7 linked regions of the Oryzias latipes genome follow. The protein of the gene in region 7 binds, or shares a complex with, the protein of the main gene of each other region. Links are inferred from orthologs where the notes say so. Each region holds a gene or a part of one and is shown on either strand. Other genes may lie near its edges.

What was found.
Region 1: ints9 (region 7) and ints7 share a complex: the UniProt entries of both Homo sapiens proteins name them as parts of the integrator complex. The link is inferred for Oryzias latipes from reciprocal best matches to the Homo sapiens genes INTS9 and INTS7.
Region 2: the proteins of ints9 (region 7) and ints11 are in contact, whole or in part, in a cryo-EM structure (PDB 8RC4), measured with the Homo sapiens proteins. The link is inferred for Oryzias latipes from reciprocal best matches to the Homo sapiens genes INTS9 and INTS11. Residues at the interface, in NP_060720.2 of Homo sapiens: Glu127, Gly198, Tyr199, Ser200, Gln201, Lys202, Tyr231, Glu338, Phe339, Ile342, Phe343, Glu345, Gln352, Lys354, Val355, Tyr356, Leu357, Pro358, Glu359, Pro360, Pro361, Arg511, Arg512, Tyr513, Glu514, Lys515, Ile516, Glu517, Ile518, Met519; in NP_060341.2 of Homo sapiens: His94, Gln97, Ala98, His137, Leu138, His139, Gln140, Thr141, Lys274, His277, Tyr278, Lys280, Leu281, Phe282, Ile283, Pro284, Trp285, Arg291, Phe294, Ser449, Pro450, Ser451, Ile452, Pro453, Val454, Gly455, Ile456, Ser457, Leu458, Leu461.
Region 3: ints9 (region 7) and ints12 share a complex: the UniProt entries of both Homo sapiens proteins name them as parts of the integrator complex. The link is inferred for Oryzias latipes from reciprocal best matches to the Homo sapiens genes INTS9 and INTS12.
Region 4: ints9 (region 7) and ints1 share a complex: the UniProt entries of both Homo sapiens proteins name them as parts of the integrator complex. The link is inferred for Oryzias latipes from reciprocal best matches to the Homo sapiens genes INTS9 and INTS1.
Region 5: the proteins of ints9 (region 7) and brat1 are in contact, whole or in part, in a cryo-EM structure (PDB 8UIB), measured with the Homo sapiens proteins. The link is inferred for Oryzias latipes from reciprocal best matches to the Homo sapiens genes INTS9 and BRAT1. Residues at the interface, in NP_060720.2 of Homo sapiens: Gly276, Met277, Gly279, Glu280, Cys282, Ser283, Asn284, Ala286, Leu287, Arg290, Asn291, Tyr315, Asp317, Ser318, Ala319, Gly320, Ser483, His484; in NP_689956.2 of Homo sapiens: Ala406, Pro407, Cys416, Pro460, Gln506, Lys507, Arg508, Cys510, His511, Pro512, Arg517, Glu545, Leu549, Gln552, Asp556, Pro557.
Region 6: the proteins of ints9 (region 7) and ints4 are in contact, whole or in part, in a cryo-EM structure (PDB 8RC4), measured with the Homo sapiens proteins. The link is inferred for Oryzias latipes from reciprocal best matches to the Homo sapiens genes INTS9 and INTS4. Residues at the interface, in NP_060720.2 of Homo sapiens: Lys2, Tyr4, Lys18, Ser21, Thr22, Leu43, Val44, Gln45, Glu87, Glu89, Leu90, Asp92, Asp97, Thr122, Glu145, Arg146, Val147, Pro148, Lys159, Glu174, Ser176, Thr177, Ser192, Gln195, Phe206, Gly207, Ile379, His380, Ser384, Asn385; in NP_291025.3 of Homo sapiens: Leu53, Gln54, Leu57, Gln58, Arg61, Lys62, Pro86, Ser87, Leu90, Lys91, Ser94, Gln125, Gln129, Asp132, His164, Gln207, Asp208, Pro209, Arg210, Arg212, Asp244, Tyr245, Glu246, Gln247, Trp296, Phe837, Gly840, Leu841, Val842, Val843.

Annotation. Positions count from the first base shown.
Region 1 is NC_019882.2:6,289,669-6,292,164, reverse strand, and holds part of ints7 (integrator complex subunit 7), read right to left. Parts: intron 2,455-2,496; coding exon 2,215-2,454; intron 1,647-2,214; coding exon 1,509-1,646; intron 1,434-1,508; coding exon 1,227-1,433; intron 1,048-1,226; coding exon 853-1,047; intron 554-852; coding exon 450-553; intron 359-449; coding exon 290-358; intron 60-289; coding exon 1-59. UniProt on the Homo sapiens protein: Component of the integrator complex, a multiprotein complex that terminates RNA polymerase II (Pol II) transcription in the promoter-proximal region of genes.
Region 2 is NC_019865.2:23,481,376-23,485,572, reverse strand, and holds the start of ints11 (integrator complex subunit 11), read right to left. Parts: upstream 2,801-4,197; 5' UTR 2,601-2,800; coding exon 2,573-2,600; intron 2,337-2,572; coding exon 2,239-2,336; intron 1-2,238. Other genes in the region: cptp (ceramide-1-phosphate transfer protein), read left to right, coding at 3,390-3,523.
Region 3 is NC_019859.2:15,819,744-15,823,990, forward strand, and holds the start of ints12 (integrator complex subunit 12), read right to left. Parts: upstream 2,801-4,247; coding exon 2,798-2,800; exon of another isoform or gene 2,791-2,797; intron 2,690-2,790; exon of another isoform or gene 2,534-2,689; intron 2,428-2,533; exon of another isoform or gene 2,309-2,427; intron 1,654-2,308; coding exon 1,495-1,653; intron 1,398-1,494; coding exon 1,245-1,397; intron 633-1,244; coding exon 451-632; intron 288-450; coding exon 128-287; intron 13-127; coding exon 1-12. Other genes in the region: gstcd (glutathione S-transferase C-terminal domain-containing protein), read left to right, coding at 2,799-3,206. UniProt on the Homo sapiens protein: Component of the integrator complex, a multiprotein complex that terminates RNA polymerase II (Pol II) transcription in the promoter-proximal region of genes.
Region 4 is NC_019866.2:7,350,569-7,354,805, reverse strand, and holds the start of ints1 (integrator complex subunit 1), read right to left. Parts: upstream 2,801-4,237; 5' UTR 2,686-2,800; intron 2,393-2,685; 5' UTR 2,313-2,392; coding exon 2,258-2,312; intron 2,176-2,257; coding exon 1,885-2,175; intron 1,236-1,884; coding exon 1,039-1,235; intron 956-1,038; coding exon 818-955; intron 694-817; coding exon 534-693; intron 448-533; coding exon 342-447; intron 229-341; coding exon 42-228; intron 1-41. UniProt on the Homo sapiens protein: Component of the integrator complex, a multiprotein complex that terminates RNA polymerase II (Pol II) transcription in the promoter-proximal region of genes.
Region 5 is NC_019859.2:21,374,036-21,378,071, reverse strand, and holds the start of brat1 (BRCA1-associated ATM activator 1), read left to right. Parts: upstream 1-1,236; 5' UTR 1,237-1,768; coding exon 1,769-1,895; intron 1,896-2,715; coding exon 2,716-2,864; intron 2,865-2,949; coding exon 2,950-3,097; intron 3,098-4,026; coding exon 4,027-4,036. Other genes in the region: eif3b (eukaryotic translation initiation factor 3 subunit B), read right to left, coding at 1,124-1,226. UniProt on the Homo sapiens protein: Component of a multiprotein complex required for the assembly of the RNA endonuclease module of the integrator complex.
Region 6 is NC_019871.2:2,461,128-2,465,293, forward strand, and holds the start of ints4 (integrator complex subunit 4), read left to right. Parts: upstream 1-1,366; 5' UTR 1,367-1,444; coding exon 1,445-1,498; intron 1,499-2,396; coding exon 2,397-2,591; intron 2,592-2,927; coding exon 2,928-3,045; intron 3,046-3,155; coding exon 3,156-3,262; intron 3,263-3,440; coding exon 3,441-3,555; intron 3,556-3,673; coding exon 3,674-3,759; intron 3,760-3,864; coding exon 3,865-3,915; intron 3,916-4,166. Other genes in the region: uncharacterized protein LOC105355351, read left to right, coding at 257-608. UniProt on the Homo sapiens protein: Component of the integrator complex, a multiprotein complex that terminates RNA polymerase II (Pol II) transcription in the promoter-proximal region of genes.
Region 7 is NC_019882.2:12,966,197-12,970,405, forward strand, and holds the start of ints9 (integrator complex subunit 9), read right to left. Parts: upstream 2,801-4,209; 5' UTR 2,688-2,800; coding exon 2,679-2,687; intron 2,374-2,678; coding exon 2,246-2,373; intron 2,164-2,245; coding exon 2,103-2,163; intron 2,021-2,102; coding exon 1,958-2,020; intron 1,791-1,957; coding exon 1,651-1,790; intron 1,544-1,650; coding exon 1,457-1,543; intron 1,273-1,456; coding exon 1,152-1,272; intron 1,023-1,151; coding exon 888-1,022; intron 232-887; coding exon 120-231; intron 34-119; coding exon 1-33. Other genes in the region: pla2g7 (platelet-activating factor acetylhydrolase), read left to right, coding at 3,360-3,415, 3,493-3,655, 3,755-3,905, 3,993-4,086. UniProt on the Homo sapiens protein: Component of the integrator complex, a multiprotein complex that terminates RNA polymerase II (Pol II) transcription in the promoter-proximal region of genes.

The sequences.
Region 1 (2,496 bases), about 6.7 Mb from region 7:
TTCTGCGCTCATATTCACTCTCAGTCTGGACAGAGCCCAGAGTGCCGTACTCCTGAAAACTGCAGTTCACAAGAAGCGGTGTGACATCTTAACTTCATACATCCTCATGCCAGATGTTTTCTTAGTTCACTTTCTCACATAAATAATGATATGTTTAAATATTTAGAGTAAGGTCTTCCAGTAGAATTACACTGGGACGAATATGCAATAGAATTTTTTTTTTTTTAAATAGACTAAGGTATAGAAATGTGCATTCTTTTGAAGGCCAAATGATAAGAGTGAATCTCACCTAGCTACCTGTGGGTCGATTATCAAAGCTTCAATTACATGTGAAACAAGCAGGCAGCTCTGCTGTTGTCTGCATAAACAGTTAAGGTGAAGTCAATCACAGTAGAGAGCAAAAATGGAAAACCTTTTTAAGACAGACTTCAGTCCAATGCTAAGGATACAACTCCACATTACGAAGGGTGGCGTAATCAGCATCAAAAGATGACTGGTGTAAATCTGAATAGCGAGCGGCGAGACTTCTGAACTCTTCCATGCATACTTTCATCTGGAAAAAAGAAGAGAAGCACCATTAATAATCTCATAAATCTTGCTTGTCAGCACCAAGATTTCTTTTATTTTTTCATAATTTATTTGCATTTTAACAGGAAACTCCTTTTCGTCACATTTTGTAGATAAAAACATGTCAAAGCGGACAGGAGGAACGTTAAGATAAAAGGCTCATTAGTCAAACTACAGAGTTAATAACCCTCAACATCTGTTCCCACAATGCATTTCCACTTAGCAGCAGAACTTCCCAACTCTTTTCTCCACAAGTTTCACCCAAACAGAATCTATTTCTTTAACCTGCAGAGAGATGCGGCCGCACCGCTGCAGCTCGTTGCCGGAGGAGAGCGCAATGGTGGTGGCGATGGCAGGAGGGGGGCTGGTTTTCAGGCTGTTGCATGTACAAATGAGCTGCGACAGGGCTTGCAGAGTGTCGATGCGCAGCTTAATGAACTCACACTGGAATGTAAGCGGGCTCAGAGGGGTACTGGCAGCCTAAAGGGACAGATGCATCAGATAAACGCTCACAAATATTACTCATTTATGACTTAAGGAGCGTCAACAAAATACATAAACATCCAAATGACTTTCAAAACCTAAAACACTTAAGTCCCTAGGGAAGCGTGGACTACATTAATGTTTTATGACAAGCAGATGCCTGGGAGTTAACCGACTGTGAGGGAGGCGATGCCCTTTTGGTAGGAGCGAAGAGCTTCGGCGATGGCACTCATGGCTCCGCTGTAGTCTCCATCCTCCACGTGAGTGAGGCACTGCTCAGCCTGGGAAAAATCCTTCAGGCTGTTCAGCCAGAAGTAGAAGTGTTCAGATGCCACACGCGTCCGCAGACATTGGTACAGCTCGCTGGAAAACTCGTGGCACCCCTGAAGGTCAAACACAAGGAGCTTTGATTTCCGGCTTCATGGCTTCACGCAAACGCTGCTTCGATAGAAGCTCACCATCCGTGAAGCCTGGCGTGCGATGCGATACACCGTCCACCCGTTAGCAACGCTCTCCAGTTGCTGTTTGATGACAGTTTTCACCTCGGCTGAAAGAGATGACTGGCTTGCAACAAAAATCACTGTTGCCAAGGAAACCTGTAGCAGCCACATTATGTGAATTAGTTTAAAATGGCAGATAAAAAAGAAAACCAAAGCTGCGCATGGCGTTGTATGGTCTGTAGGCGCCACCCGCCCCTGCAGCCCCCTTTGACCTGCCCTCAATGGCTGAGTGGCTGCTAAACCCCTTCACTCTGCCCCTCTGTTCAAAACTGCACATGACAAATTCATTAAAAAATGATTTTTTCCCCAAAATATTTTTATTGATTTCATCTCTATAGCAACTATTCATTATTTTGGTCACATGGGGTTGACGAACAGGTCTATGTAATTTTTGGATTTCCTTAGCTACAAAGGTTTTTTGTTAACCACACCCACATTTCCACTTTCTATGCCCAAAATACATTTTGACCAGATGCAGTAAGAAAAGAGAATTGCAAAAACAATCTATTCCTCGCAGTCCAGGACTGCTGCTGGCCATAGTTAAGGAACAATTAAATGAAGTGACCCTAAAATAGAAAATCCACAAAAAATGTCATCTTGAACCAAATCCACATCCAACGCAAGTTAACAGAAAATCAGGCGTGACTTGATTGCCATCTCTCACCAGAAGCTCTTGCTGTTCTCCGGTGGAGGAGTGACTGACAACCCTGTAGAGATCCACCAGATCCCCCAGCATGCCGTCCCCCAGCACGGGCAGGTGAGTGGCAATGGCCGCCAGAGCGTGGCAAATGAGAGTGCGGGACGAGTCACAGGATAAGTGGAGCTGGCCCAGCAGGAAATCCACAGCTGCCTGGCTGAGATGCGGTCGACCTTTGAGCAACTTGACCAGTGAGGTGAGGCCAGTCTGTGGTGGTTCAGAAAGAAGACGACAATAAAATACAGATTT
Region 2 (4,197 bases), on a different chromosome or scaffold from region 7:
ATATTAATAAGAAATTACAAATCAAATAATTCCGTTTTTTTTTGCTCTTTCATCATTTTTTAGAGCATTTTTTTAGAGCTGGACTCCTGCTCCATTTTTAGCAATAATTTCTTAATGTGTGACGTCCTGTGTGTGTCTTTGTGAAACATATCAGAGGGATTAGATCTAAAAAATAAAACTTATTGTGATTAATATGTTTAGGTCTTATAAAACATTAAAGAATAAATCATAGAACTCATCAGTGGGATTATTCAAAAAATATTTGGCATTTCCCTAATTTTGTGCAACACCAACAGTAGAAATCCTCCAAAAAACCTCAGTCCATAAAAAATGGTCTGCGCTCATCCCCCCCCCCCCCCCCCCCCTCCCCTTCCCTCTGACACACGCGGCTCCGTCTCTATGACGGGAGGCGCAGCTGCGGCTCAGAGTTGATTGTCAGATAGAAAAAGACTCCCAATCACCTGTTAGTGTGATTCAGCCACCGGTGAGTTGCGCCCCCCTCTCGAGTTTTTTGACTTATGTTCCAAAGACTGCCGCAAAGAGGTGTGGCCGCAAATGTCTTGCAGCAGAAGGCGGTGGTCACGTGCGTGTCGGGTCTGCCGTGTCAGAGCAAGGAATTGTGGGAAATAATCCCCATTGCCTGCTTTTGTCGAAATTTGGTTGAGCATGGGTGTTTGTTCTGCCCAATTCCTTTTCATGTGCCTGTTTTACGTTGTTTCACTCTGAGTTATTTCATCTTTTTTTTTTTTTTTTTTTTTTTTTTGCACCATAAGTGTGAAGATCAAATAGGATGAAGACATTCTTAACAGTCTGATGTATCAAAATAAAAGTGTTGAGTGTCGGCAGCTGAAGCAATTTCAAATTAAAAGCTGCAAGCGTAACGCACGCATCGGGCACGCCAAATGCCGCCCCCCACGAAGTGCCGCCCTGGGCGACCGCCCACATTGCCCATATCAAAAACCGCCACTGAGAGTGGGAGAAAGTGTAAACAAAAAGATGATAAGAAAGTGAGGGCGGGGCAACTCCACACCAACAGTCCTGCCCAGAACTCAGAGGCTAATTTTGATGAACTATTGCCGCTCTTCAGAAACTATGTCTTAGAAAACGACACCGTTTTTTATTTTTTTTATTTTGGCTAAAACCAGCATATTCTTGATTAAAAGATCACTGGGGACGCTTTTACAACAGATCAAAAAATGACTGGAGTCGGACTTTAAAAACATTTAATGACTATATCTATATACCCAGGCTGTGTCCCACCAAAGTGGGGTAGCCTAGACAGGGCACACATTCTTAACTCCCTCCTTCTCTTCCCCAAACCCTCCTCCTTCAGTGTGTGTGTGTGTGTGTGTGACTGGTCTAAGGCCTGGCCTAAGCCACACCACACTGCACCAGGGTCAGCTGCACAGCCCAGTGTGGGCACCTCCACAGCAGGGCCTCAGCCAAGGCTGGTTTCCCCTTGCCGCTTCATACCAAGACCAGACCTCTACCCCACCCATCCATTCATTCATACACAAACTCTCTCCACCCATCCCTGTCCTGAGCAGCCTCTCTCCCCTGCACCACAGTCATCCCTCTTGCATTTAGCGCTCTTTTTACACCCTCTGTCCATCCCATTCGCGGTCTTCCTCTCATTCTCACTCCACTCACATCAGATTCGTACACCTTTTTCACCAACGCTCTTTCAACATGTCCAAACCATCCCAGTGCCTTTTGCTCTGCTCTATAAGCCAACTCTCGCAGCACACCAGTTCTCTCTCTTTTATTTTTAACACATTTAAATGAATACAGTACGCGGTATACTGAAATAGTTAGATTGGTACCTCGACTGGTGACTATAGTTTCATTTTTTATTTGTTGAACACTTTGTACAGTGAGCTGCGTAAAAAGTATTTTGTAAGTGATTTTAAACTTGATGCAACCTCGTAAAAAAAGAAGAAAAGAAAAAAACACGTCACTGTCATCCTTCCTAGACTGAGTCCTGTTCCTCCATGGGTTTGTCGTTTCATCTCACTTCATCCTTTGGAAGATTCTTCCTGGTCCACGGTAGCTAAATCCTCAACTCTGTGTATTCGTTTAATTATTTTTTACAATTTCACTCATTCAGTCCGGCCTCTGCTTCACATCAGACCGGAGACTCTTCCATCTGTCCCCATAAACGGTGAGTACCAGCTCTCTCAACCTATAAGCGCTTTACGACAGGGGCCTGCTGTTGCCATGGTAACGTCGTTCACTCACGTCGTCGTTGTATCCCATGTGCATTCCACAGTCCAGCATGATGTTTTTGCCTCCGATGGAGACGAGGATGCAGCTGCGGCCCACATCCTGTCCAGCACCTTGGAGGAACACGCACGCGCTCAATAAATCCACACACAAACTCATGGTTATATGAGCAGCTTTGTCCGTTTAGCAACACGTAGGACGGAGCTAACACACAACAGTTTGCGTGGTCCGACAAAAACACACATTGTTTGCTTTGGTTTCTAAAACTCCACTAAGAACTACAACTTTCATTTTAAAGACATTTGTCTGAATGACGTGCTAGCATGCTAACCGAACCTGCTGGACTTACCCAGAGGAGTTACTTTAATTTCAGGCATGTTGTCTTAACCGGAGCAACCGGTGAACGAAAACGACAACGTTTCCCGACCTTTTGGTCAATTATAACTAAAAGAAAAGCAAATGTTTAAAGTATTGAGGTTTTACAAATAACAATTCATACTGTTTTTCAAAGAAGCAACTAGCTAATCTGCAAAAACAAAACTTCCGGTTTACGCTTTCAAAATAAAGAAGAGCCGACGAAAAGAAGTCAAAAGTACTTCAAAAGATAAACCTGTCAATTACATTTTTTGAAATGTTGTATGATTTACTTTATATATTTAACATCTCAATATGAAATGTATATGTAAGCAGTTAACTGAAACAGGAACCTACTTACATATACGATACATCTATCTAGATTTCTTTTATTCACAATATGGAAAAAAGTTCTTTGCATGTTAGTTAGTAACCAAACATAGTCTTAAACATTGAAATGAGCAAAACAAAGTTTGTTCTGAAGAGTTTTACTCCTTTTGTAATGTTATTGCTGCTAAATTTTACGGATATATCAGTTTATTTTGAAAGTACAAATAGAATTTCCTGTATTTGCCGGTCTGAGTCTGCGCGGTAGAGGCGGATAAGAGTGACCTGTCATAGTCGGAGTTAAAAGGAGGGATGCTTCATTTTTCTTTCACTTTGCTCGCCTGTGTCAGGGAACGATTTTGACATTTGTCATCGGTTTGTTCCGGCCTGCTGTAGCTCCCTGGTGGCGGTCGCGCGCACACGTCATCCACGTTTTCCGCTGTTTGCTTGTTGTGGACAGCACTTCCTACTAGATCACGATCATCATGGCTGGGCCCGCCGCATCAGAGAACCAGAACTTCTGCTTTAAGGAGGAGCTGGACGCTTTTAAGTTGAGCTTGTCACCCACTAAGGAGGTGATTCTCGAGCATTACTTGGCTGGATGGAGTGGGCTTGTCAAGTGAGTGAGTTTCTTATTTTTGGAGGGGGGGGGTTCAAATATTTTAGCTGGCCGGTCACTGACATTTAAAGCTGATTTAAAAAAATAACAACAAAAATTTAAGGATTAAGAACCCTGAAAAAAATGTCAAAGTTCTATCATGGCACGGTCTTGGTCAAAATCAACGTGTTGATCTTGAAAGCACCAGAACTTTTGCAAAATGCAAACTTGTTTTTCCAAGTCAACCTGCTGTTCAGGTCTGGGGAGTCAGTTTTGGTCTCCTTAAGTCCCAGGAGGTGGGCGAGCATTAACCGTCCTCCCGATTAACTGGTTAAACTCCACAAGGTGCTTCTTGCACATGTGGCCTTCCAGAGCAGTTTCCCTCATTAGCTTCTTCTCCTTCCCGTTCTCTCTAAATGCTGAGTGGATGGCCCATCCTGAGCGTGGAGAGCAAGGGTCTGTCTCCAGGTGCAGGGACCACTTTTGACCCCTGACCTCCTTTATTGTTTGCCCGCCAGCTCAATTTCAAAATGTCTAAAAAATAAAAAAGTGAGTTTTTGCTTCAGGAAAAGTGGATTTAACGGAGGGCGGTGGTTCTTAAAGCCTGGACGTGGATACTCTTGTAGAACAAAATGACAGGTTCAGTTTGTCAAAAGGTGAAAACATGATTCTCTTTGAAGTTAAGCTTTGGAGAA
Region 3 (4,247 bases), on a different chromosome or scaffold from region 7:
AGGTTTCTGCGCCTTGAGAACACACACACAAAAATCATTAGCTTTAATGAAGACTGTTGGTCCTGTTGCCATGACTCCCAGCTGATCACTATAAGAGTCAATACCCGAGCACAGGAACAGCTCTCACCATGCGTTTCATTTGCCTGGTACAACGAGCACAGTACCACACAAGGCGGGGGTCGTTGACCTCTTTGTCTGTCACTTGGGGCTTGTGGCAGTCCTGGTGGTACAGATTATGACACTCCTGACACTCCACCAACTGGTTTCCCATGGTCACCGTCATTTGTCTACAGTTCAGAGAAACGCAGACGCAAAAACAGTTGAGTGAAGAGAATTTCATACCAACTCGCACGTTGTAGAAAGAGAAACTGGATCCACAAACCAGAAAAATGTGCAAATAACAAAGAAACTCAAAGTTTCATTTCATTTCATTTGATAATTAACAAGCACCTGCAAACCACACAAGCCAGTCCCATTTCCATGGCAAAGTCGTCAGCATTAGTTTCATCGTAGTCGTGTATGTTGGGCATGAGGTCCTTGCTCGTCTGAACAGTTATAGGGGACGAGCGATTGTCCGGTTTCTCCAAGCGGGACTTTTTTGGAGGATCCACTTCAGACAACTCCACCCGTATCTATTTGTCAATGAGACAGAGAACGTATGAAATTTGAAAATTCATACCAACATTGGTGTTCAATCACACAAGCTGTTATGCTTAAAATAACCACAGATTGAGAAGAAAGTCCCAAGCAATGTCTATTATTATTATTTTAAACTAAGGATGTACATGTTTGTTAGAAATGGACTTGTTCATCTCGCTGTGGCATCATTTAGTTCATAAAATAAAGTAATAATATTCAATTACAAGACCCAGGAAAGCCATAAATCAAGACTTCGATTATTCATAAAAAAAAACAACCTTTAAGTTGCTGATATGTTAAAATAATGACCCATGTATGTTTTCTTTTTCTCTTTCCCTGATCAGGCATCCTTTTTCTGGTGTTAAAAAAAAGTCTCAAATTTTATTCCAAACATTTTTTTTTTGAGTGTTGTCATTTCTTTTTGCATTTGTCAATATTTTATGTCTCTTCAGGGCTTTATTCCTAAATTCTAATGATTGACAATTGTTGCAGCTTTAATTGGAATCAATGTAAATCCTGAAGAGAATTAATGAGTACAGTCCAATCATGGCACATGGTGTCATCTAAACATACATGATAATGTGACAACACTTTTAATCCCCCACCTTCTCTGATGGCCTCTTCTCTGCTTCTTTCTTGCTCTTCTCTGAACTGGATTTGGAACTTCCACTGTTGCTGGAAGATGGAGTGCTCAAAGACTTTGAGTCTTGCTTAGTCAGGCTCAGTTTGGACACAGAACTTTTTGGCATTTCCAAGTCCTAAAGATGAACACAGCAGAAAAGAGGAGCAATAAGCTCCATACGAATGAATTATCACTGACAGCGTAAGACTATCTTTATAAGAAGCGGATCTTACTTTTTGTAATGAGCGGTAGGAGGAGTCACCTCCTCTCGCAAGGGACTCATCGAGTAAAGCTTTGAGTTTCTCTGCTGAATCTTTGTTCTTGGAGTGCAAATAACCCAGAGCCTTTAAAAAAAGGGGGTCCAACTCCAAGCTGACAGGTCCAGCCATGGCCTAGTTAGAAAATGATTGAATAATGTTAGGTTTTCATTGACGTCTGCAAATTACAAATGTACACTTTGCTACAATACAAAACTATTTCATCTTATCTAGATTGCAAATTAAATATACTAACTATAATAAAAAACAAAAACAAAAACAAACATTTATTAAGTCAGTCACACATGTTTATAGGCGTCTGGGAGCATTTACAACAATGAATATCAATGATGAGCATATTTATTCAAAGTTATAGTTTGCTAATTACAATTGTAATCAAATAAAGCAATTTACAATGAACTATAGGCTGTCAAAACTAACAAAAAATACAGCAACCAATAAAAATGTTCATTTTTAAGAGTTTTGCCTAATAATGGGTACACAAAAACGGAACGTTTTTAAGACTAACCAGCTATTTTTCCTTATTTGCGGTATTTATTACAAGAAATCCTGCCTCTGCATTATTTACTACAAATATATAAAGAAATATGATGCCTGTGTCTATTAAAAACAACCCACAATGCTCAAATCCAGTTGGTAGGGTTTAAAGTAATCGTTGGTAGCAGATGGACGGAACAATATCACTGCGACACCGTAGGTAAAGTTATCTTCCCAAATGTCACCAACACGTCAAAATCCCCAGTCTATAGCTTTAAATGGGTAATCCTACCTCACACTCAGTTTCTGCAAAATGTTGGTCTCTGCTGTAGATATTTCTGTTTAATAGAACTCTTTCCACAAAGAGGAAATCGCCGCTGACGTTTTATGTCTTTCACAATGTGCACCCGATAAATGTGTCCGGAATCTAAGTGGGCGGCGCAAGTAGAACAAAAAATATACTTCACGTAATAGCAAAGCGAATTTGTTTTTTGTTTTTTCACTCGTATTTTTAAATAAGTTTTATTCTAACCGACTTTCTATCAATAAATGCATTTAAAATGTATATATTTTAACGACCAGCTGGTGGCGCTGTGGCAATACTCGACTCAATAACTCGTAGTAGAAGAAGAAAAAGCAGCACGCTGATAACGTGATGTTTGTAAAGTAGCCGGTCTGTATGACTTCTTTCTGACTGTTTTATGGCATTATTAGCAGTTGAAAAGACAAATAGTGATAATAAAAAATACTTAAACATATTTCTCCCATTCACAGCATTTACCATGACACACGCCGAACAACCCCCGTGCCTCTACTTAGAAGTTTGCAGCCAAAACGAGCAGCTGCGTCTTCCCCTGCACTCTTCTATAGTTCTGTTTCTGCTGTCTTACTGCGACTGCGAGTCTTTCAGAGTGTTTCTCGTCCTTGGCGACAGCAGCAGCTCCGAGCCTCTGAAGAGCCAGCTTCCAGCATCTGCAAGTCTCTCAGACGTCCAGGTGGACGAGCTGCCCAAACTGGTGAGCAGCTGCCGCCTCCCCGCTGCTCTGGATGAGAGCGCGCAGATCTGCAGGGCCGGACTGGCGGTGGTCCTCAGACACATCATCGACAAGAGCATCGAGGCTGACCCTTCCAGGAAGGATGTAGCAGCTCTGCTGGGCTTCAAAAAGACCTGCTTAAAAGCCTGTGCAGAGGTTGGTGCAATTACACTCTATCACGTCTCTGTAGGTTTGTTTTGGTTGTCAGGATGGAAAAACACAAAAAGTCTTTATGTGTGTTTTGAAAATATGAAAAGACCGTGATGCTTTGCATTAAAGGGCATCAAAGTTATGCAGTTTTACATGAAAGGAACAGCTGTTGTGTTTGTAGGCAAAAAGATGCCACAAAAATGACACCCCCCCAACACAACACCAAGTATCATCTTACAGTTTCAGGTCAATGTTGCCATATGTTACAGAAAAACAGCAACATTAATTATCAGACATTTCCCCCCGGTGACAGGTGGTGCACCTTGCCAACAAATTATGGATGTAATGATTAATTGACTAAAATCGAATTTTATTCCTATGATCCAACCAGATCTTTCTGACGCAAGCTGTTAATTGAATCGACCTATGAAATCATTTCAAAATGAAATAAATTGATTATTATCAATATTGGAAAGTCCCATTTGGATTGAGGCCTTGTGGGTGTATTTTACTATAACATAAAAACTGACAGAGTGCCATTACAGTGGGCAACACACATGTGATGGCAGTAAAAAAAGATACCTACAGTCTTGTCAAATTGACTCCATCATTGAACACCTAAAGGCAGGATTTGTTGCTAGCAGTACAAGATGACCCAGACCAAACTGCATCTACATATACAGTCAGGACCATAAATATTTGGACAGAGACACATTCTTTCTAATTTTGTTTCTGCCTGGAGTTGATTAGAGGACTCGTGCTTGCATTTGGAAGATTTTGCTGTGAACAGACAACATGCAGTCAAAGGAGCTCTCCATGCAGGTGAAAGGAGCCATCATTAAGCTGAGAAAACAGAAAAAAACCATGCCAGAAATTGCTACAGTATTAGGAGTGGCAAAATCAACAGTGTGGTACATCCTGAGAAAGAAAGAAAGCACTGGTGAACTCAGCAACGCAAAAAGACCTGGACGTCCACGGAAGACAACAGTGGTGGATGATGGCAAAATCATTTCCATGGTGAAGAGGAACCTGTTCACAACTGCCAAC
Region 4 (4,237 bases), on a different chromosome or scaffold from region 7:
TTATGTGCTGCTTTTATCCCGTTCTTCATCAAAACTCTCACCTTTGGGTTCTGGAGCCACATCTCCAGCCTCTGCACTGCCATGAGTCGGGTCTCTTTGTAGCCGCATGCGGCTGTGAGAAGCCGCAGCAGATTTCGGGAAACGTTGTCCATCGGCTGTCGGCGGTTCAACTGATCCCTCAGGACGTCAAGGACATAATCCTCCACACTTTCTGACAGTTCTTCATATCTACAAGGTTACAAAAAAAAACCACAAAATTTCCCACCAATTATTTTTAGTACAAAGAATCCTTTAACATAATTTACCCCAGTTAACGAAAGTAAAAATCTATCTACTCATACCTTGGCATAATTTGTCCCTCATCTTCAGGACTGAGCTTCTCTTCTGCTATTAGCAACTCAGTCTGACTGTCATCTTCGTCTGGGGTGGACGGATGAGGGCTGCTACCTAGAACAGCCACAATAAATCCATAAATAAAAATGTGCTTTTTGGCATCCAAACTCTCAAGGAATTAGCAACCTTTTCAACTCTACCTGCACTGAGATCCCCCGCTGTGCGGCCGGTATCAGCCTGCAGCAGCATACTCTTTGGAGGCATCTTGGTGCCAAAAGCAGTCTGGATGTTGTCGACAAAATTCTTACAGTGAGAGCTATCGACCCAGATTCGTTCCCCCAGTGAGTCCTCAATGTAAACCTAAAAAAAAAAAAAATCACATTTAAATTTAGAACAAAACAAAAAAAAAAATCATAAATGACAGAAAAAAAAGCTTGAAGAATGAAATATGAATAGTCAGGCTGCCCTGCATTAACATTCTCACTTTGACAAAGATCTCTGGCCAGTTTTCATCTTCCTCATATGCTGCCATGAGCAGATTGCAAGCTAACACAGAAACCAGGCTGTTGCCTTTTGCCTTGAAATTGATTGAAGCGTCCCGACGCAGGAGGCTGCACAAAGCCTAAAGCCGAAAGGAACAGGTTAGACAAAAGCATTTAATGACAACATTTGTGTAGGTGTTAAACATGCATCTGAGAGTCTTACCTCAATGATCCCTTCGGTGGCAAAGACATTTGGCTTGATTTTAGCCAGAAACATCAAACTGAGGTACAGCGTTGTGTCAGGTTTGGCTCTGTTCAACTTTAGCTGTTTCACTGCTCCACAAAGTAACCCCTCAATGCGATCGTCATTTCCTTCAGACTCTGAAGCTTCAATCTCATCCAGAAGAAGAGCTGGGGACACTGTCCAAACAAAGAGAGGTTATTATACTTTTACATCTGCCATTAACTGTTTTATTGACAGTTTGCATGTCATAAAGACCCACTCCGATCATCTTTTAAGCTATTTTAAAAGCGTTCCCAGGAGCTCAGGAGCTTATTAGAAATTCACCTATGAGTGGTGGGTGGGACCGTTGGCGTTAAGTAACCTGCCTCCTCTTCCCTTCTTCGTTACTGACAGCTCTCTGTTTACACGTTCGCTTGCTAGCTTACAGCCCCTCACACCCCCAACCTCACATTACTGGTGCAACAAAAATGATGAGCAATCTTGCAGCTATCCTGCTGCACAGTTTTGAGCCAGATGCCAGCTCAGAGGAGAAAAACGAACGTACGTGGATCTAGTTGTGTATGACTGGATAAGTCAGAATGGCAAGTGGCCAGTGTACCTTCTGTCAGAAATAAGCTCTCTTTCGAGCAGCATTTTTCATCTACTCTTGATTCACAACATTTTGAGTACAGAAATACTCAGAAATGCAATTTTGAGCTTTCTTTTTTAATATATGTCCTCCATCATCAGAAAATCACCACAAGATCATGATAAAAACAGCAAAAACATCATTGGAGTGGGTTTTCAAAACATCTTTCAGTACCATAAAGTAAATGGTTAATTTACCTTCAATTGGTACCACTGATGGCTCTTTTATTGAAGGCGATATAGCCCTCTTGTCTACCGCAGCCACATCAGCAAAGCGGCTAAGTGCACTCACAGGAGGGGTGGTGGACAATTTGGGTCGTTTGGTGAGGGTGGACAGACCCGAGGAAGAGGGTAAGGTGGAGGCGGCTTCTCTCTTCCGGTCTGTAGGTATTCCTGATGAAGCTGGCTTCAGGAGAACAGCGGGGGCTTTGGGCTCAACACCTTGGCTCTTTGAGCCCAAAGCAATAAAATCTCCAGGTGGAGGATGACCTGAGACAGTCAAATGTCACATTTTAGCTATATAGATGCTACGTTACAAAAACAATACTTCGTGTTTTCCCGCTGATCATACCCGATGATTTGGCAGCGCTTGGGCGCCGCAGAGTTGTTGGTTTTGGGCGATTCATCTTCTCTGATCAAAATCATCAAGTTATCCACGACAGGATGAACAGATTATCATTCTTTCTTTGGCAAAAAAAAAATAATCCTGCAAATAAAGCAAATTATGCATTGTTTGGCATATTAAATGTGGCAGTAGCATAGACATACTCCGTTTTTTTAGTTCAAAAAATGCTGCTTGTTACATCCGTACTACTAGTACACAGTACACCAAACGCGAGCGGCTAATCAAAACAAGGCTAGTAGAGTGTGTAGCTTATAACAGCTTTAGCTACATTTACCCGTTTAGAATGTGGCAAAAAACGTGACTGGTGTTAACTTTTGTCTTATCGAAAGGTTATATAAATATAATCCTGTTTATTGAAACGAATTATCACTAACCTGAACAAAGCTCTTTACATAAAACTTAACAATAATCGTCTCAACCGGAGACGGAATAAACTGGGGAGCGAGCAGCGGTAACTTCTTCTGCTTTCATTAAAGTCACCGTTCACCAATAAAAATGCAAGTAGCGCCATCTAGCGGCGGGAAGTTTGTACTGACTACCGACCATCAAACAAGTGTACTTCCAGTGGCACACAACATCAGAGCAGAGGCAGTTTATAAAAATGCTTTGAACAAATAATAAAAAATGATCAAACTTGTAATTCATGATATTCACCATAACAAAAAATTTGACCACATTTTAATAATAAATTAAATAGTCAGTTTTGTGACTTTTTGTCTATTGACTTATTGAGTTGTTAATGATGTTTATGCAGTCAATTTACAATAAAGTTATTTTTATAGTGATTATCTCCAATCATTTTTATAGCTATTTTTTCCCAGTAGTTATAGTTAATAAGAAATCCCCTTTATAAAATATTTGGCACATAAATTAGACATGATTTGAGCTTTGTTTCTTTCCCAAAGATCTTGCACCACAATTTTATTCTATTTTTAACATTTTTATCTTAATGCTGCTAATTCTCTTCACAACTGATGTATTTATTTTCTTAATGTTAATTTAAAATAGCCCAAAACTTTCTGTCTTCCTGTGTGAAACACTTCATTTATGAAAGGTACGGAAAACTGTCTTGTGCTGATTAGTCGGTTCCAGGAAGAAAATAAATATTTTACAGAGGGTACATTGCTAAAATAGAGGTACTGAACCATTGATGTGTTTTGACATTAGTCCTCTTTCCCTGGGTTAATATCAGTCAGAAAATGTCTCTTCGTATTTTTGCCCTAACAGGACACTGTAGAAAGCGGATACTGCTTAAACAACTGCGATTACCTCTTGTATGATGGTTGCACTTTGTTCATAAGCAGCTTTGTTTCATTTTCAGGCGTTGTGATGCTTGACTCACAACACTTCGTTTTAGGATAAATCTACACTGGGATTCATATCTTTTAGTACAATAAGTGTGTATATGTAGTTTTAATATCAGTCTGTCAATATTAGATTGTTCTTAGGAACACGGAGAGGCTTTTATAACCAGCACGATTGTATTTCAATCTTTTCAATGCAAACCTGGATGAAGATACAATGCCCATGTAATTACATGCAACAACCCCTAGAGGTAGATGGAGACTATTTTCCTTACTTCAACATCAACAAGTCTGTTGAAACTGTCAAGAAATCAATGATGCAGAAAAAGTCTTTGCAGACTAATTCTATTATCGTTATTCTAAAAATACTATAAAAATAAATCTGCCATCTCAGATCCATTTCTGAAGACAAAAACAGTCATTTTTTCATTTGGTGTGTCTGAAATATAACAGTGACTTCTCTCTTGTTTTATAAATTGACTTCAAACTTTAAATTACACGTTCTTGATCATCAGAATTTCAGGGCGTCTGTCAAATCAAATCCAAATTTGGTCAATGTGTTTTCTTTTTCAGAAATATTTGTGTAAGGATGTTTTAAGGAAGTAAAAGTAACATTAACATG
Region 5 (4,036 bases), on a different chromosome or scaffold from region 7:
AATGGTGATATTAAACTAAATCAACAGCCACTGGAAGGTTTACCATTCCCCTAAATAGCAAACATCAGAAAACAAACCAAAATAATGGCAAAGGGTTGGATCTATTGTCAGAGTGGTTTATAATTGGAATTAGTTTAAACTCATATTCTTACCTTTTGTTTAGTTGCTGTTCAAAGACAAAGTTCTTTCAGTACATTTGCAGCAAGATCTTACTTTATACCGGATGCATTTTATTTTGAAAGGAATTTGTATGCGCTGCTGTCAAAAGGTATATAATAGTAATGTAACACTGTTATAATTATATTATTCCAATTTTTAAAGCTACTTTTTATGAATGAATGGCTTGATGGCCACAAAAAATGTGATTTTTTTCTTCTTTTTCTTTTAACATAAACAGAAAATAAACAGAAAAGTGAGGCTCTCACTGGGTTTTGGTGTAAAATAAACTGGACCATCATGTGCTTCTTTCAGCACTAAAGCTTGCAGACCCCTGATCTATCTGCTTCACTTCTTCCTTTAAGAGGTAGGTTCTTTGGTTAATCTGTAAATTACTTCTGCAAATGTAATCACCCAAGTTCAGTTTAAATAATCCTCCAGACAATTTTAAGTAGTCTAGATTATATGAAATCCATTTGGATGCTGTGTCTCTATGTGGTTAAAAAAAAATGTGAGCTTTGTTAATGCCATGAAGTATATTGTGAAATAACAAAAGAGCATATTTAATTCAAACCTTTCAAAATGTCACAACAAGACAAGAGTAGTGACGTAAATTCATCAATTTATATATTTGTCAAATTGACTTAAAAGACAACTAAAGATGCTAATTTCCCCTTTAACTCATCGACTTAAAAACTGACGGTATAGCATCTGGTATGATGACTGAATGAACGGCGTTCATGATCATGATAGACAAGAAAACCGATTGTTCGTGTGTTTCTTGGTTGATAAAACCTTCCAATTAACTCTGTCGAGACTAATACGGCTTAACTAGTCCATTCTTTCGCCTAAAGAAAATGTCAAACTGACAGCATCTGCAAATATGTCAAAAGCAACGGTCCGTCTAGCTTTTTAGCTAGCAGTTAGCAATAGGCCTACAGCCGGCGCTTTTCCTGCTAGCGCTTACCCTCATCCTCGACATCATCTACGAAGTCCTCCGGGTCGCTGAAGGAAGGCTCCTCCTCCTCCTCATACTCTGGGTCGTCCACCATATCAACTGTATTTCGCATTTAATGGGACTGCGGTTCTGAAAAACCTTTACAGAGGCGCAAAATCCCGGAAAATGAGAGGCTAACAACGAACGACCGGTGAGGCACCATGTGCGAAAATGGACGAAGAGGCGGAAACGTGACGCCGGAAGCGGGTCAGAGGCGCGTTTACGGACCATCGTGAAATCGCAAAGTTGTAAAACAAATGGAGGAGCGACAACAACGAATGCTCAATTAGATTTACTGCATCGAGATGAATACAGATCGAACGGTAGTAGAAGCTACTTTTGCTAGCAACATAAGGGGAGTCACCTGCCAGTAAATTGTTGAAAACTACTTCTTTTTTAGAGTTACTCGCAATATGTCTCAAATACTGACTACAAAATTGCCACATGAAAGTAATTCACTTTTTATCCATTTACTTTTATAAAGGTTTTTTGGTTTAGCTATATGATTTTCGCTTTTGATGAATTTCAATATCGACGATTCGAAGGTTTGAGTTAGTTATCGTGACGTGAGCTCCAAACTTGGTGTATGTTGGGTTTTCCCGGCCATTCTTCAGTATGGATGGAGACTGTGTGTCTCTCCTGCCGCGGGTCTGTGACGTTCTGGCGGCCCCGAGAAGCTCTTTGCCCGATGATACAAGCCTGGAAAAACTGCTGGACTGGTTCACAACATTCAGCAAATCGGGTTAGTTCTGGGAGCTGTTCCCCATACTACGAGTTCTTCCCAGCCAGTCTGGCGCAGTTTTCTTTGTTTATGTGAATTCAATTTGGCCGGGATATAATTTGCACATAAATTCCTGGAAATATTTGAAATTTAAAATTGAAGTACATTTAATAATTATTTATGAAGAGAAGTAGAAGTTCAGGTCCCATTAAAATCATCTTTTGATCAGTTGTAAAATACTTCCCAGTGGTCTTTCAATTATGATTATGCCTTTTTTGGTAACAATTTTAAAGGAAACTGTTATTTTTTTAAGGACATAGTTTCTGCAAAGCAGCAAAACCTCTTAGAAATTTGCATCTGAGTTGGCGGAAGTAAGCTTCTGCTGATTTCCCATCATCCCTTTGTTAACACTCTCTTCTGGTGGCTTACAGCCCCTCACAACCCCAACCTAACATTATCTGTGAAACAATAATAGCGAGCAATATTAAAGCTATCCATTTCCAGGCATACAATTTTGATCCAGATAGACATGGATTTCTTTGTCTGCATGTGGATGCATCAATGGAGCAGAGCAGGGAGCTTGTAGCCCACCCATCTCACTTACTGTGTTTCAAAAGATAGCTTTCTCTAACGACATTTTGTGTGCTCCTGATTCACAACGATTTGAATAAAGATATACTCAAAAAATGCCATTTTAGTTTTCTTTTGTTTATATATGTGTTCCATCATAAGAAAATTACTACAACAACACGTTAAAAAACCCCAAAACACTATTTTCACTGGAGTGGGTCTTGAATGTTTCTGTTATCACACTCTTTGACTGTGTCTCCTCCTGTTGAAGGCGTGTCTCTGCTGGAGGTCAACCCATGTCTGCAGGGCTTCATATCAACTGTAGTTTCCAGCAGAGCTGCAGAGTCCAGCATCATCTCCTTTGCCCTCAAACTCACTGGTTTAGTGGCTGCTGCTGAGGATGGCTTCAGAGCTCTCCAGGTAGGCCTCATATCTCCTGCATTTCACCAACATCACACAGCCATCCACAACACTGATAATGATGATGATGCTCTCGCCCCCACAGGCGAACTCTGTCCTGGACCTCGCCTTTAACCCTCAGCACTGGCGTGAAGATGGACTTTGGGATGATCCTTGCGTCCGCATCGGCTGGATTCAGGGCTTCAGCACAATGCTGCAGCACAGACAGGCTTTCAGTTTCTTTGTTCAAGCAGGTAACTCGTCATAAAAGCTGAGCTCTCTTCCAAACATGTAATGACCGTGACAATTTTTGGGCTAAAAGTCACTCTGGTGCATAGTAAATAAGATACTATAAGATAATAATAACAAATTCACATATAAGTTGCACTAGAGTAGAAGTTGCACTTTTTTGGGAGAAATTTATTTTACAAAATACGCGACCAAGAACTGAAATTTCATCCTGAAAGACAAATCATAGGGATGAAATAGACAACAAAAATAGACTGAAAATATGCACACGCTTCACTACTGTAACACGTAGCTTCATGAGACATTGGAGGAATTGAATAATCTAGTATATTGAACAATCGTTCAGATAACCATAACATAAAGAGCGCACTAAAAAATCAACTAAACTCACTATATCACTTAAAATCACTAAATCTGTTGAATTCTTCATTATCTGTGTCACTTTGGAATAATTCTGCCCAAGCCCGCCGTAGACTGAGCGGCCCTACTTCTTTAGCGTTGCTGTCAGTAGCAAATACTGATACACACCTACACTGCCCTCTAGTGGCTGTTAGTGGAAAAAGAAGAAATACACAAGCATATTTATTTAACCCTTGTGCTATCCTAGGCACAAGGGTTAAAACAAGGGTTAAAAAAAATCACGTAGAAGTCACATCCCCGGCCAATTATGCAAAAAAAATAAAAAATAAAACGCGCCTTATACGCCAAAAAATGTCCAATAGCTGTTTATTTTTCAATAGACAATTGTGGGATTTTGGCTCCTTGGAGCCAGTGGGTACTTCCTGTGAACTCAATCCAGTTATCATATATAGTTGATATAACTATACTGCGTCATGTTGCAGCAGGAAACAGTTGGAACTACAGATCTTATAACTTGATACCATCTTGTACTTCTGGTAGTGTCATCATCTCCCTTTAATGCTTCTTTCCTTAGACTCCATCAA
Region 6 (4,166 bases), on a different chromosome or scaffold from region 7:
AAATAAACTGAGCATAAACCTGGATTATGTTGAATATTTAAATAAATTAGGGGTGCACATAGACTTTTAGAGCTCAAAGAAAACAAATGTATGGATCCCTGAACTTAAGGAGAACTGAATTTTTATTTCTCAAGTTTTCTTTTTTTGTGTGACTTAAAATTGAAATGAATCAGTTTGATTATCTGCAGAAAAAAAGTAAATCTGTAATTCAGGCTTTGAAATGAGAGTCACAGCTGTGATCGTGCTTCTCCTCCAGGCATCAACTGACTGAAAGAACTCACTGCAACGCCACGCTGGTCCTGAATCTGCAGAAGGAGGACAACGGCAGGAGGTGGAGGTGTCAGGTGGAGACCAAGCCAGGCGAAATAGAGACTCATTGGGACTTCACCTCCTCCTTTTTGTTTGAAAACACCTCCTCCGCCCGTGTTCTGCAGCCTCCTGCTGACGGCTTGTGTTCCGTCCGGCTGCCCATCAGCCGCATTGTGTTGTGTGTGGCTCTGCCGCTCATGGTCGGCATCGTGGGATTGGTCACATGGGTGTCGGATAGAAAGAGGAACAAGATGTTAGCTGCTGCTCTGCAGCATGACACCATGGGAATCAATCACTGACCTTTGAGATGATGTTTCTCCCAATGACACTATTCATTTTCTTCACTCTTAAGCTTTTATTCCTAACTTAACAATCTGCACTTCAGCTTTCATCTGAGTACATTTTACTGTTTTTTTAGTTGTCTAGAAAAAAACTTGATATTTGAATGTAAACAGTGTAAAACTTTACAGGCCCTCATTCTCTCTATAATGGAATCATGTGTTTAAATTTAGAAATTTGTAGATGGTTTCAATATTTTGTTGTTAAATACTACCCCTGTCTTTCTTAAGGTAGCGCGGATTACTGGATTTAACTGTCTTAACTGAAGTGACTTATTTGTTTGAACACATGTTTATACAAGTCAGAGGAAATTTGTAAAAAAATACTTGTTTTTTTTTATCTTTATATGCAAACAATAAAAAATATCATCAGATTTTTGGCTATTAGTGCTTTTATTTTATTGTTCTTCTAAAGTTGCTTTATAAACATTTTGCTATTGTTTTCCAAATTAAAATATTTTATGGTGATTTCAAAGATGTTCTATTTCTTGGCTTGTTCTAAAATATTCATGTTTAATGCACATAATTCATTAATTTATTCGTATTCATTCGTATTAATTAATTTAATTCTAAAGTTAATATTTCTAGACAAGGAGTTATTTTTATAGGCCAAAGAAATATTTTAATATTTTATGAAAAAACTGAAGGGTGTCTTGGACATTCATAGACTGCGGACTACCCTGAGTTCTCCACTCCCGGCTTCCGTAGGAAAACAATGCATTTTCACAGCTACGGAAAGTGTAAGGGGACAATTCTGCGTTTTGAGGAAAGAATTGTCTGTGCGTACCTACTGAAACATGGCAGCACATTTGAAGAAGCGAGTGTACGAGGAATTTTCAAAAGTCGTTCAGGTAAACGTTATAATTGTTTTGTTCGTCAGCTTGTTTTTGTGCGCAAGACCTTAATATGAAGCTAAAAACTGCGCTTTCAAGCTAACAGGACCGTTTGCGCATGCTAACTGATTAGCTGACTGAACAGCAACAGGAACCCGTTGCAGCTTCAACAACTCAACACACATTAGAGTTTGTACATGTTTGGTGACTTCATTTAAGGTCAAGTTGTGGAGCTGACTTTCTTTAATGTCACAAATATTTGGCCAATTGCAGCCTAGCTAAAGTGGTTAGCATCTGATATAGCTATAGCAGTCGTTCAGCGGTGCTTTCAGATGTCCTCGGACTTTTATGTGTTTTCTCCTAAAATTTAACTCTTTTTAAGGCCCATTAACTTGGGAATCAGACGTGGTTCAGATATTGGTGGTCATCTCTATCAGCCAGGTTTTTTCCTGTATGTTCAGGAACTAGTAAGACAGAAATCCATTCTATTCATTAACAACATACCCACATATTCATTAAAACAGATTCTATTTTGATTTAAAATGTTGCAGAAATGTGACTTTATACTTTAACTGGTTGCTCTGTGAATCCTGTTCATGGCTATATGTGAAAAGCTCATCAGATTCAGAGGGGAACTGTTTTTGTTTTTTAAAGTTTTTGAGTATCTTTATAAAGCAGATTTTATGAAAAGAATCTAACTCTTTTTAATTAAATTGTTCTCAGATGTTGAGTAGGAAAGGATGTTTAGGTGGTAATAACACATGTTGAATATATTTTAAAAAATCATAAACATTGATCCTGTCTTTGCATTTTTTGTAATAACCTTTAATCATTTAAATAAAGATTGAAACGTTTTCTATGTTTTTTTTTTTGTTTTTTTTTGCATAAATAATCTTCACTGTCATCGTGTTTTCAGATTCCTCATGAAGAAGCTCCGGCCAAGAAGCTGCGTCTGTCCAAACCCAGCAAGTCTGCTGCGCTGCACGTTGACCTCTGCAAAGCCACCAACTCCACCGACGCGCTGCAGTACCTGCTGCAGTTCGCACGCAAGCCCGTGGAGGCGGAGAGCGTGGAGGGCGTGATCCGGATCCTGCTCGAGCACTACTACAAGGTAAACGATGATAATGATCAGCAACAATGTGATTTTTAGAGCCGCTATGACCCTGAGCAGGATTCCACAAGACAAGATGATGAATGGATGTTGGAGATGTGGGCGGGGCAATGGTCGTTCTTTGGAAAATAGATTTCTAAGATTTAGATTTGAATGTTTATTAGTATAAAATGTGAAAAGAAAGTTCTAGTTGCTTTTAATTTTATAGAGGCGTTACTTTTTATTCTTACTGTAACATTTCAATTGTTTAAATAGTTCTAGATAGTTTCTGAATATTAGAACTCGACACCTTTGTTTGAACCGAGAAATGCGTCACGCCAATGTGTCTCATGTCAGGAAAACGACAACTCTGTGAGGCTGAAGATCGCTTCTCTGCTCGGTCTGCTGTCCAAAACCCGGGGCTTCAGCCCGGACTGCATCTTTGATGACGCCATCAACACCCTCAGCAATGAGAGTGAGACACACTCCATCCCTTTTTATTTTCATCAGACCTCAACTGTCCTCTCTGTCGGCCTTTGTGGCTTCATGTTGCGTTCAAAGACCCTTTACTGTCTCTGTGGACAGACTCCCATCAAGTCCTCGCTCAGCTGTTGGGCACTCTGCTGGTCATCGGGACTCAACTGCCAGAGAGTCCTGCAGTCAGACTGAGGCTGACCGAGGTGGCCTGCAAGGTAGCACACACACAAACACACACTCACGGGCACACAAGCACACGCAAATGCAGATGCACTCACAGACATTTACATATATAAAAAGAACACACACACACACACCGATGCACGCACTCATACTCATGCATTTACATACACACATTCCAGCATCTGATAGTTGTGGTCGTCTCCTCTGCAGCATCTGTCTGATACGCACTTCGGGGTGAGGAACAAATGTCTGCAGCTGCTGGGAGGTCTTGGCGTGGCGGACGCTCCTCTGCTTAAAGACGGCGAGGGATCGAGCTCGTCTTCAGGTCTGAATGTCTTAAAGAGGAAACTCTGCAGGCTGTTCAGAGCTTTTCTTCTGAAGCATAACATGACAGCCGTTTGGGTCAGGATGGGTTCTTATTATGCCTTTGACTTGAACAACAGGAGCTGTGAGAGAAGTTCAGACCATCATCAGCGATTACTTCGCAGACCAGGACCCCAGAGTCCGCACCGCAGCCCTGAAGGCCATGGTAGGTCACAGCGGAGCATCTTTACCTGCCAAAAACCTCCACACCGGACGCTGAACAAAGATCCCACGAAGTGCATAACTAATCTGAAGACTTTGTTTGTTTCAGCTGCAGCTTCACGAGAGAGGAATGAAGATCCATCAGATCATCTATGAGCAGGTAGGAGCTCAGGTTTATAGTTTTCACATTTAGGTCAGATTCTGAGGGATTTGATGCTTTGGAACAGAAAACATGGAATCAGTGAAGAGATTTCAGATTACTAGGTTTCACTCACAGCTGAAAAATATGTTTATTTCTTTATTTAACAACTAGTTTTAAGATACTAATTATTTTTTAAGTGTTGCACCTTTCCAGCCAGTCAGAGGCCGGGCCCATATAAAAACATATGTAGTTCAAAGACGTAGGGGTTT
Region 7 (4,209 bases):
CCAACACGTTTCCTCCCGCCCGGATCGTCATGGCTGCAGGTCATCAACAGGAATAAAGAAGATTGCTCCACACATTTAAAAAAAAAAAAAAAAAAAAAAATCAGGTTTGGAAAACCCACCCAGGTTACTGCAGAATTCTCCCAGCATGCCATCTGGGTTGGCTGTGGGCATCTGGGTGAGCCCAGTCAGAATGAGAACATCGCTGTTCTTTAAGGAGCTCTGGTCCATCGGCTGTGAAAGAAGAAACTGGAATCGTTTCAAACTGTGGAGGACATTCCTCACAGAAAACAACTGAGCTCTGGTTTCTTGTTTTGATTCACAAAAAAGCTGCTTAAGGACCCACTCTGATTAAATTGTGGCACTTTTCTGATGATGGGAACATATATTAAGAAAATAAAGCATAAAATGTCATTTCTGAGTATTCCTTTAGTCAAATCGTTGTGAGTCAGCAGACAAAACTTCAGTTTGAAAAAGAGCGCGTTTGTTCTGTAAAACACGCTGGGTGGGCCACAAGCTTCCTGCTCCGCTCCATTCTGATGGATCCGCTGTCAAACATTTAGATTCATGTACATCTTTGTTTTCCCCGTCTGAGCTGGAATCTAGATCTAAACTGTACGGCTGGATAGATCACATATTGCTCACCATTTTTGTTGCACCGCTAATTTTAGGTTGTGGCTCTGAGGGGCTGTAAGCTAGTGGAAGCTCTCAGTAACCGAGAGAGGAAGAAGGCTGTGTTCATGTTAAATGGTAAGCTACGAACGCACCGGGAATGTGGAGCATGTTAAGAATGTATGCTTTTAGCCACGTGGTGTTTATATTGGAAAAACATGGAGGGGCTTCATCTTTCCTAATCTTTCTCCTGTGCTGCTCGGCTCTCCTCCTCGTACCTGTGGGTGTGTGGTGAGCAGCGATGAACCCGACACGTACGCCACTTTCTCATGATGGGACTGGATGATCCAGTTGGAGCTTCCTAGTGAGTAGCCAGAGCTTAACGGGGAGACCTGCACAGCTCCAAACAGCTCCTGGAAAGAAGTTAATTTTTTTTTTTTGAAATGGTAGATTAAAATCTTTAAAAAAAACAGTAAGACATGTATTTTTAGTATTTATTTTCACATGCAAGAACAATGTGTTGTTTCAGATTTTTTTTTTACCACTTTCTGGGAATAACCCACGAGCTGCACTCTGCTGAGGGCTGAGTTAACCTCCTGGATGCCGTAGCATCGTTTCCACGTCCACACGTCAACCGCATCCTTCAGCGGCCCCGGAAGCAGCCTGATGTTACAACATTATTCAGTGATGAACTGTGTTTATTTGACACTTCTCAACAATCTTTTACATGTTTGTACCACCTTTTTTCACCCCTTCCTTTGTGTCAAACAGATAAACAAAAAGCACATCTAAAGCTGAAGCTAGTAGGATTTGAATGATCTAAATATCCATTTTGCTGCAGACTAACCTTTGCATGTCTTTATTTTTCCATGAGGTGGCACTCTGAGCTTTAGGAACCCTCTCCATGAAGTTCACCAGCTCTTCCATCAGCAGTCTTCAGAAAAAAAGTTAAATTTTCAATTGTCTGAAGAAAACTCAAAGCATGAAAGATATTTTGGTTCACATAATATTTACTGGAGTTTAGTTTGTCTCCATATTTACCTCCCGATCTGTAAGGTGGGCTCTGTGGCGTACACGGTCCCTGTGAAGCCAGTGTGTTCAGTGATGTATGGCAGGGCCATCATGCAGTGGTAGTTGGAGATAAGGATGACATCAATTGTTGACAAATCCAATAACTCTTTCTGTATTTAAAAGATGTAAAAAAAAAAAGAAAAAAACCTAAATATATAAACATTTGATGGAGAGCAGGTTTGGTTTCCTTTGATGTTTTAGCTGCAGACTTTTACATCTAAAGATAAAATGGAAAAAACAAAGTTCAAATTTCAGTTAAGGATGGATAACCAGCAACCTCAGGTAGACAAAACTCAGGCTGCGAGTCCACAAATACTCTTCCGGCACATTCCTTTAGCTCCTAGGAAGATGAAAAAGAATAATTTTAGTCAAAAAAAACAAAAGGTATATGTGAGCCAGTTTTTACACATCACACTTCAAACCTTTTCCAAATTTATTGTTCCATCCTTTGAAATCCAGCCAGGGAGCTTGGAGAGTCTGGGACTGCAGAAATAAATCAAATATCATGGTTTAACGAGTCTAATGCTAAAGCATGCATGTAAAAGTGCATAAGTATGGCAGTCACCTGTGCACAAGAGGAAGAGGCAGGAAGTTGAGGACAGATGTAGTGTCCAGTCCACAGTCCAGCATGATAGTGGTGGACTTGAACTTGAGCACATTGCAAGGCAATGTAGGATGACCTGACAAACAGTACTGAGGGGGGAAAATACGTTTTTAGTTGAAAAGCCAGTCAGTGCAGAGTAAATAAAACTACAAGTATAGTAACTATGCTAAATTGTCTCTAAACGAAATGCAAACAGTTGCGCCAAAAAGCAAAACAAATAAGCTAAATAAAATGTCCAAGACTGTATTATGTTTGTTGGAAAAGTAGTACTATAAGCTATTTATCTCCATCAAAGTCAATACTACTTTCTTGCTACATAGTTTCCCGTGGATTGTAATAGTTTCTAAACATTCAAAGATTAACAGTTTACACTTTATTTGTGTTTTTGACTTACCAATTTCATTTCTTTAAAGTATCGAGGGATAAATGACTCTAACGTAGCAGGTTTAGCTAACACGCCATATTTCTATTATTGTTCGATTCCCAAGTTCGCTCTCTACTGCCCCCTACAGGCTTGGAGTCACATAAAACAAACCCAGCAATGTTACATAAATTCGTTAAAAATTAGCGAACATACTTAACCTTAAGTGCAATTGCTGGCTAATATTGGTAAATAATTAAAATATATATTTATGGGGGGAAAAGGTATTTTTTATTAAAATAAAACTTTTTGATGGAGTCGGAGCCGTTCTTAAAAGAGCTGACCCAATGTGAGCAGAAACAGATGACAAGAAGTAACCCGTCTATACTAGAACTGTGAGTGGGCGACTCTATTCTGTTCCGTGCATTAGTCATATAAACCAGTCACGCCTCGGTTGGATGAGGTTTTGCCCGCGAGCAGAGGCGGAGCGACGGGCTGGGGATGGTGCAATAGCCGCGCAGCGTTTAGCCCCGTCACATGCTAACAGCTGCTGGAAGTCATGAAGCGGTTAAAAAGCTCGCAGGTGACTCAGACTGGCACAAGACAATAAACAACGCAGGAATGTTACGAAACTGACGCCTTAAGACGAACCGTTCACCTGCGTCCAGATATAAAAACGGAACATTTTGGTTTCGCCCAGTTTTCGAGACGTGGATGTTTCCTCTCGGAGGTTTTGTCGTCAAGAGGTTCTACGAGTGGGTCAAAGTCGGGTAAGGGAACCTGTCCGCCTGTGGAAGACAGGAGCGGAAGTTTCCGACACTTAACAGCAGTCCTGGTGTCATTTTAGGGTAATCGAGTTTTCTTTGACGCGTCTAAAGGCAGAGCAGAGGAAGAGGTTTTCGCCTTGGCTCGCTGCCATGGGGAACTCATGCAGTAACTTTGGGATCCCTGCAGGGAATGGCCCCAATCCTGTGGGGTGCACTGATTTGATGATGGACCACACAGTGAAGGTAAATAAACACTCATGTAAATCTTGGAATTACTAGAATTTCTGCTAAAACAGTGGAACTAAAATTGTTTTTGTGATCTTGTTTCCGTCCCTCCAACAGGGCTCCTTCTTTAGGCTCTACTACCCTTGCCAGGAGACCGAAAAGGCAGAAAAACCAGACTGGGTCCCTTGTAAGGAATATTTTAATGGCCTGGGAGACTTCATGAAAATCAACAGGAGGCTCAGTGAACAGATTTTTAAATACCTCTTTGGTAAATAAATAAAAACGATACTTTTTTTTTTCTAAATCTACAGATTATCACAATTCATTCTTTTCGATTGTGTTTCATTCGTTCCAGGGTCCTATAAGATCCCGGCCTTCTTAGACGCGCCGTATAAACCGGACGGAAAGCGTCCAGTAGTCATCTTCTCCCATGGCCTTGGAGCCTTCAGGTACACAAACATATTACATTGACTTCATAGGGCTACGTTCACACCCGGCATGTGACGCTCATTTTTACATGTGGTGTTCACACTGGACAAGCTGGGCTGAGCAGGAAGCAGCTGCAGGCCCGC